Anolis sagrei: one gene and its partner. The protein of the gene in region 2 interacts with the protein of the main gene of each other region in a pairwise test. Links are inferred from orthologs where the notes say so. Each region holds a gene or a part of one and is shown on either strand. Other genes may lie near its edges.

Region 1 (3,917 bases), on a different chromosome or scaffold from region 2:
ATGAATATATGGCAGCCTTTCTCCACCACCCAACAAGGACCCCATCTTACAACTCACCTACCCCTAGAAGACAAATTCAACCATCCGCTTGTATGAGAGAAAGGTTATACTGTGAGACTTCGCTAAGGCTAAATTTGTTCTGATGCTATTGATTTTAAAAGCCATAGCTCCACCTTGTGTTATGTTTTTTGGTTACACTGCTTCCATATCCATGAGAACTCATTTTATAGTAAACCAAGATCCTCAATTCTACCCAGAGATGTATTATTACTATATCACATTGTCCCTTCAAATAAGAATTGCTGATTTATGGCAACCCTAAGTCAATCCTATCATGGGCTTTTCCTGGCAAGATTTCTCCTGAAGGCTTTGACCATGGCTTTCTTCTCAGGCTAAGAATGTGACTTGCTCAAAATCACTCAATGGGTTTCCATAGCCAATTAGACATCTGCTTCGGTTGCCAGAGTCCTAGACCAACACCCAAATCACTACACTATGCGGGCTGTCCCTGTAGGCCTGTTGTTGCTGCTGTGTCAGGTTATTTCTGATTTATGTCAACTCTATCATGAGCTTTCGTTGGCAGAATTTGTTCAGAAGGGAGTTACTTCTCTCTTCCTCCGAAGCTGAGTGAATGTGACCTGTCCAAGATCACCCCTGGGTTTCTGTGGCCAAGCAGAGATTTGAACCCTGGTCTCCAGAGTCACATTCCAATGCTCAATTTTATTTCCAATGCACAGAAGGACCATCCTGAATTTTATAGTATGTTTTCTATGTCAAATTTCAGATCAACCCACTGAGTCACTTACTCAGTGTTGTCAACAATACGTATAATTTTATTTATAATAGCAGGAAGTAATTCATCCATCTTTTCCACAACATAGACTGCAGATATGACCCTATAATAACACTTCTTCTTTAACTATGCACAATGTTACATTTACTCACTCAACCTAACGTAAATGAAATCACTATTCCCCCCCCCCCCCTCCAAATTTAACTGCCCTGTTGTATCTTTTTTTTCTTGGCAACTGAAGATAAATATTCCAATTCTGGTCAGAAAAAAAGTAGCACATTCCTATTGCAGTATTGTTACTGTTGAGATCAAAAGTTATTCTTTTCTGTAAATTTGTTTCTTTAACAGCTCTTCCAAATGGACAAAATACCATATTTGCTGCTATAGTTCTTGGTGTTTTGAACATGTTTGACAGTGTAGATGGGGCCTAGATGTTGTTGGACCAAGCATGAGCTAACTTTGGCCCTCCAGCCAGTGGGCTGTTAGGGATTGTAGGAGTTACGTCCAAAACACCTGGAGGGTCAAAGTCTGCTCAAGCCTATGTTGGACTTTAGTTCCCTACATTCCTCACTCCTGGCATTGCTTCTTAAGCCTGGTGGGAGTTGCAGCCTGACTGCATCTGGAGAGCCTCTTGGAAGGGTTTGACTCCCACAGTTCAATAAGTCCTAAAGATCAAGGTGATACTTGACACCTTGTGAATTGATGGCACTTAGTTTTAACTACTGTTGTTTTAAAATTGTAGTATTTTGATGTTGTGCTACATGTGTTGAGGAGGGGGGTTGTTATAATTTTATGTGACTTGTTTTATACTTTTGTACTGTTTTTACCGCTTGTATGTCCTATGTGCACGCTGGAGTGCCTTGTAAGCGGCCCTTTGTAAGAGTCCCTTCGGGGAGATGGTGGCAGGATATAAACAAGTTTATTATGATCAATGTATCAAGGTGGGGCAACCTTTCTTTCTCCATCCCTCTCTGCCCACTACCTGCATCTGAGGGCAGCACTGTGAGAGGCACATCTTTAGTCTCAATTTTGACGGAGGGCTCCAGCAGGGACTGCATTTTGAGGGGCACTTGGGTGACGGGCACCTTGGTGACCCGAATGAGCTCAGGCGGCGGCGGGCCCTGGAACTGGATCCTGGCCCCGGGCGGGACCGGGTGGAGCGTCAGCGGGATCTTCAGCTCGGGCGGCGGCGGCGGCGGCGGAGGAGGCGCCCCCGGGGGCTGGCTGGGCCGAGCCTCCTTGTGGGGCGCGGCGGGGCCATTGGAGGGCGGCCGAGGCTCGGGCCCTTCCTCCCCCTCGGCCTTGAGGCTTCCCTCGGGCGGCTCCTCCAGCTCTGTCTTGATGCCCGGGTCTCTGGCCTGGCAGCTTCCCGCCGCCGCCTCCTCCTGGGCGAGGTCCTCCTCTGCTTTGACGCTGGGGCTAGTCTCCTCCTTGGCGCCCCGACGACCCGCGGCAGCCTTGTGCTCCCCCCTTTTCTTCTTGCTGCCAGTGCTGCCGCCCCCTCCTCCTCCTGCTGCTGCTGCTGCCGCCGCCAGGAGCGAGGGGCTCTCTTGCTCTTCTGCCTTGACTTGCGGGCCCTTGGCCTCCTTCCCCTCGCAAGAAGGGCCGGCCTGCTGCCCTTGGGAGAGCCCTCCGCCGGCTTGGCCATCCTTCCGGGGCGGCGGGGGCGGCTTGGCGGGGAAGAGGAGCAGGGCGGGCGCCTCCCGGCTGGCCGGCCCGGGCAGAGGCTGCAGGAGGAGGCGGTCCAGGCGGGGCGCGGCGCCTTGCCAGGCCGCCGGGTGCAGCAGGAGCCGGGCCGCCTCCCGGGGGGTTTCCTCCGGCGCCCCTTTCTCCATGTCGCTCAGCGGGATTGTTGCGGGATTGTGAGCTCAGCCCGCCCGCCTCTGTGACCCGGCGCCCGTTTGTCTCCTGCGGTTGGCGGGGGGGCCAACGTTCTCCGCTCCGGGACCCTCCCCCGCCCCTCCCCAAGGCCACGCGCCGCCGCCGCCACCGCCGCCTCGCGGGACCCTCGCGCTGCCAAGGTGCGGGGCCACGTGCAGGCGCGCCTCCCTCCTTCCCTCCATCCTTGGACCCGTTGCCTAGCCGGCGCTATGGTTACGCCGCCCGCCGCGTCACAATCGGGTCGCCATGGAGACCAAGACCCCTTCCAGGTTCGCTCGCGCTCCTTCCTCTCCCTTCACAGAATCCTGGCGCTGGGAAAGAGGCCCCGAGGGCCATCCAGCCCAACCCCATTCCGCCCATCCAAGCACTCCCCACACGTGGCGCTCCAGCCTCTGCGTGACAGACGAAGGAGGACTATTAAAGCGATACAGGGCCTGGAACTTGGTATGTTTACCCTGGAGAAGAAACGGTTAAGACCAGTCATGATAGCCATGCTTAAAATGTGGAAAGATCTCTCCTTGAGGAGAGGGCATGCTTGTTTGCTGCTCCTCATATGGAGATTAAGGGCGTACTTAAACGGCAGCGGTTTAAAGAGCAGGGAATGTTTAGCCTGCAGAAGAGAAGGCTCGGGGTCCGTCCACACAGCCATATAACCCAGAATATCAAGGCAGAAAATTCCCACATTATCTGCTTTGAACTGGGGCCCCTTCCACACAGCCATATATCCCAAAATATCAAGGCATAAAATCCTACATGATCTGAGTGTGGACTCAAATAACCAAGTTCAAAGCAGATATTGTGGGATTTTCTGCCATGGTATTCTGTAAGAGCCCTGGGTTATCTGAACCCATCCTGCCATATATTCCAGTTCAACGCAAATAATGCGGAATTTTATTCAACTATGGAAGGGGCCTGAGAGGAGACATGATGGCCATGTATAATAAATATGTGAGAGGAAGTCACAGGGAGGAGGGAGCAGGTTTGTTTTCTGCTGCCTTTCCACACAGCCCTATATCCCAGAATATCAAGGCAAAAGATCCCACATTATCTGCTTTGAACTGAGTTATCTGAGTCCACACTCAGATAATGTGGGATTTCCTGCCTTGGTATTCTGGGCTATAGGGCTGTGTGCAAGGGCCCTAGGACGTGTAAACAATAGCTTCAAGCTACAGGAAAGGAGATTCCACCTGAACATTAGGAAGAACTTCCTTACTGTGAGAGCTGTTCAAGAGTGGAACTCTCT
Region 2 (3,917 bases):
TGTCTCCTATGGAATCCTGGGGTTTGTGGTTTAGGGAAGGCCCTTTAAATAATCTGCTCCTGAGCCTCATTAAACTACAAACCGCAGAATTCTCCAGGAGGCAGCAATAACAGTTAAACTGGAATGACAACACTTTAACAGTATAGTTTGATGATCTCTTAAATTCTGGATTCTTTTAAAATCCCAGATTGTTTGGAAAGCCGTGACTGTTATCTCCAGACCCCCAAAATACTGTCCACATTAGCACCACATGAACAGGGGAAACATGAAAAAGGCATGCCCTTCCCAACATGAGCAGCAAAATACTAGAGCTCGTGCATTTACACAATATCAACAGGTAGTGTCTGGACTGCTCTTACTATGAATGCCACCAGAGTTTCGGATACGATTTGTCCCTTCATGGCACATTCTTGTCCTATTTCACGGATGATATTCTTGATGACGTTCTCTGCTTGAGCGTGAGCCATTCTGCACTATTAAAAGGAGGATGGACATTTGTAAAAACACATCTGAATTTTCTTCACATTAGCTTTCACCAACAGTACTGTGGTTCCATAGTCATTTAAAGCCAAATAAGCCTTTAAGTTGTCAAAAAAGAAACGTAAAACCTAGTCAGGAGGGAGAGATAATTTATGGCTGTTTGCAAGGTTGATGCAGAAGGTTGCCTAAACAGCTTTTGTCTGATGTATGAAATCCATCTTATCCAGTGAACATGACTATAGTTGTGCTCTGACAATTTAATGGAAAGGACTACAGCTCAATGTTAGATCATCTGCATGACATGAAGAAGGTTTCAGGTTCAATCTCCAGGACTTTTACATAGTTCTGGCTCAAGAAAATTCCCATCAGAAACCTTAAGTGCAGTTAAATCAATGTGATTAGTTTTCTTCAACTCGGGTATGTCGAGAGTTGTAGTCCAACAAACTGAGAAAGATTGATTTGGATGATATGGCCTAAAGCTAAAGGTAAAGGTTTCCCTGACATTAAATCTAGTCGTGTCTGACTCTGAGGGGTGGTGCTCGTTTCCGCAGTCGTAACGATGAAGCTGTACCTATTGAGCTAATCACAGAAGTTGGGCCTAACAGCAAGAGCTCACCCTGCTCTCTGGATTCAAACCGCCAACCTTTCGGTCAGCAAATTCAGCAGCTCAGCGGTTAAACTGCTGTGCCACCAGGGGGCCCAGGATACGTATGTGAAGTTTGGCCCAATTCTATCGTTGGTGGGGTTCAGAATGCTCTTTGATTGTAGGTGCACTATAAATCCCAGCAACTGCAACATCCAAATGTCAAGGTCTATTTTCCCCAAACTCCACCAGTGTTCACATTTGGGCATATTGAGTACTCATGCCAAGTTTGGTCCAGATCCATCATTGTTTGAGTCCACCGTGCTCTCTGGATAAAGGTGAACTACAACTCCAAAACTCAAGGTCAATGCCCACCAAACCCTTCCAGGATTTTCTGTTGGTCATGGGACTTCTGTGTGCCAAGTTAGGTTCAATTCCATCGTTAGTGGACTTCAGAATGCTCTTTGATTGCAGGTTAACTATAAATCCTAGCAACTACAACTCCCAAATGACAAAATCAATCTCCTCTCCGCAAACCCCACCAGTATTCAAATTTGGGCATATTGGTATTTGTGCCAAATTTGGTCCAGTGAATGAAAATACAACCTGTGTATCAGATATTTACATTACGATTCATAACAGAAGCAAAATTACAGTTATGAAATAGCAGTAAAAATAGTTTTATGGTTGGGGGGTCACTACAACATGAGGAACTGTATTAAGGGATTGCGGCATTAGGAAGATTGAGAACCACTGGCCTAGTATAATTGTCTTTGGTTGTATACTAAAAGAGGAGGTTCTGCTCTAAAGGGTTTTTTGGTTCTTCTCTGAAAGGTTATATTCTCTAATATAAGTTATGTTCTCTAATAATTACAAACAGGGTGACTCCATGGTACTTGAAGGGGAATTATAGGCTGGATCTACACTGCCATATACTCCAGTTTCTAGACTAGGCCTGGGCAAACTTCGGCCCTCCCTCCAGGTGTTTTGGACTTCAACTCCCGCAATTCCTGACAGCGGCTACGGGGGAAAGAGAAAAGGAAAGGGCCTGAGACTGTTAGGAATTGCGGGAGTTGGAGTCCAAAACACCTGGAGGGAGGGCCGTTGTGTGCCCGGGCCTGGTGTAGATGCACCCAAAGACACGATGGTCCTGATGTAACTGAGAACTGCCTTACTCCGCGGGTCAATGCGGTGGAGTCCTGGAGATGTGGTTGAGTGAAGCCCCACTACTCTTGCGCTTGTCAAACGACGACTCCCCCGGCCTCTCCTGAGGCGTGAGCGGGGTTTGACTGGCTCTGTCCTGCGCCGCAGTCCCCAGCTCTTCCTTTCTTCCTTGGCCTCCCGCTTCTCAAGCAAGGCCTGGTCGCTCTCCGCGGGAAGGCCGCGTTGCCATGGAGACGGCGGCCGCTCCTCCAAGCGCCCCCCCCCCGCCTGAAAAACGCCCAAGGCACACACACACACACTCTCCCAACCTCAAACCATACAGGTTTTTGGGTTGGAGAGCAATAATACACCTGAACTTGGCCTTCCTTGGGATGTCATGCCTCCCTCTTTAAGTGCCTCGACAGGTTTCAAAAGCACTGAGAACTGACTGGTTCAAAGCTGAGAGTGTGTGACTTGTCCAAAGACACTCCATGGTGGAGGAGTAGGGATTTGGACTTCAGACTTTTCTCCTCACCAACATATTTCAAAACATTGAGGCCCCTTCCACACAGCTGAATAAAATCCCACATTGTTCTGCTTTGAACTGGAATATATGGCAGTGTGGACTCAGATAATCCAGTTCAAAGCAGATATTGTGGGATTTTCTGCTATGTTCTCAATTATATGGCTTTGTGGAAAGGCCCTGAGAGCCAGTTATCTTAAGCATCAGAACCTGGTTTCTTGAAATTACAGTTCAAAAACCAAAGATATAGCTGTCTTCAGAAGACTACTTTTAAAAATTAATAACAACGTTAATAACAACTTTGTATTGTCGAAGGCTTTCATGGCTGGAATCACTGGGTTGTTGTAGGTTTGGGGGCTATATGGCCATGTTCTCTAGAAGCATTCTCTCCTGACATTTCACCTGCATCTGTGGCAGGCATCATCAGAAGTTGTAGGGTCTAAGCCGAAGAGCTGGCATTGTCCGTAGACACTTCCAAGGTCATGTGGCCAACATGACTGCATGGAGCACCGTTACCTTCCCACAGAAGTGAGACCTCACAACCTCTGAAGATGCCTGCCATAGACGCAGGCAAAACGTCAGGAGAGGATGCCCCTAGAACATGACCATATAGCCCAAAAACCTACAACAAACCAGTGATTTCAGCTATGACAATACAAAGTTATTATTATTAACGTTGTTATTAATTTTTAAAAGTAGTCTTCTGAAGAGAACTATATCTTTGGTTTTTGAACTGTAATTTCAAGAAACTGGGTTCTAGGTTCTTGTGGGTTTTTTCGGGCTATAGAGCCATGTTCCAGAGGCATTTCTCCTGACGTTTCGCCTGCATCTATGGCAAGCATCCTCAGAGGTAGTGAGGTCTGTTGGAATTAGGACAATGGGTTTATATATCTGTGGAATGGCTGGGGTGGGGCAAGGAGCTCTTCCCTGCTGCAGTTAGGTGTGAATGTTTCAGCTGATCACCTTCATTAGCATTTGAAGGCCTGCCTGAGAAACTGGGTTCTGATGCTATAAATACAGTATAAATACAGTAAATAAATAAATAAATAGTTATAACTAGATGGGTGCATCTACACTGTAAATTAATGCAATTTGATACCAATTTGGGTGCCAGGGCTCAATGCTTTGGAATTCTTAGATTTGGAGTTTGGTGAGACACCAGCACACATAGGTTATTTCTTATGATCA

Evidence for each region.
Region 1: the proteins of CFAP206 (region 2) and SOX30 interact in binary tests that used the Homo sapiens proteins (3 or more experiments, as listed by UniProt). The two-hybrid records come from large-scale screens. The link is inferred for Anolis sagrei from reciprocal best matches to the Homo sapiens genes CFAP206 and SOX30.

The regions. Positions count from the first base shown.
Region 1 is NC_090022.1:80,319,909-80,323,825, reverse strand, and holds the start of SOX30 (transcription factor SOX-30), read right to left. Parts: upstream 2,927-3,917; 5' UTR 2,629-2,926; coding exon 1,776-2,628; intron 1-1,775. UniProt on the Homo sapiens protein: Acts both as a transcriptional activator and a repressor. Binds to the DNA sequence 5'-ACAAT-3' and shows a preference for guanine residues surrounding this core motif. Binds to its own promoter and activates its own transcription.
Region 2 is NC_090021.1:106,151,175-106,155,091, forward strand, and holds the start of CFAP206 (cilia- and flagella-associated protein 206), read right to left. Parts: upstream 2,432-3,917; 5' UTR 2,239-2,431; intron 474-2,238; 5' UTR 468-473; coding exon 360-467; intron 1-359. UniProt on the Homo sapiens protein: Essential for sperm motility and is involved in the regulation of the beating frequency of motile cilia on the epithelial cells of the respiratory tract. Required for the establishment of radial spokes in sperm flagella.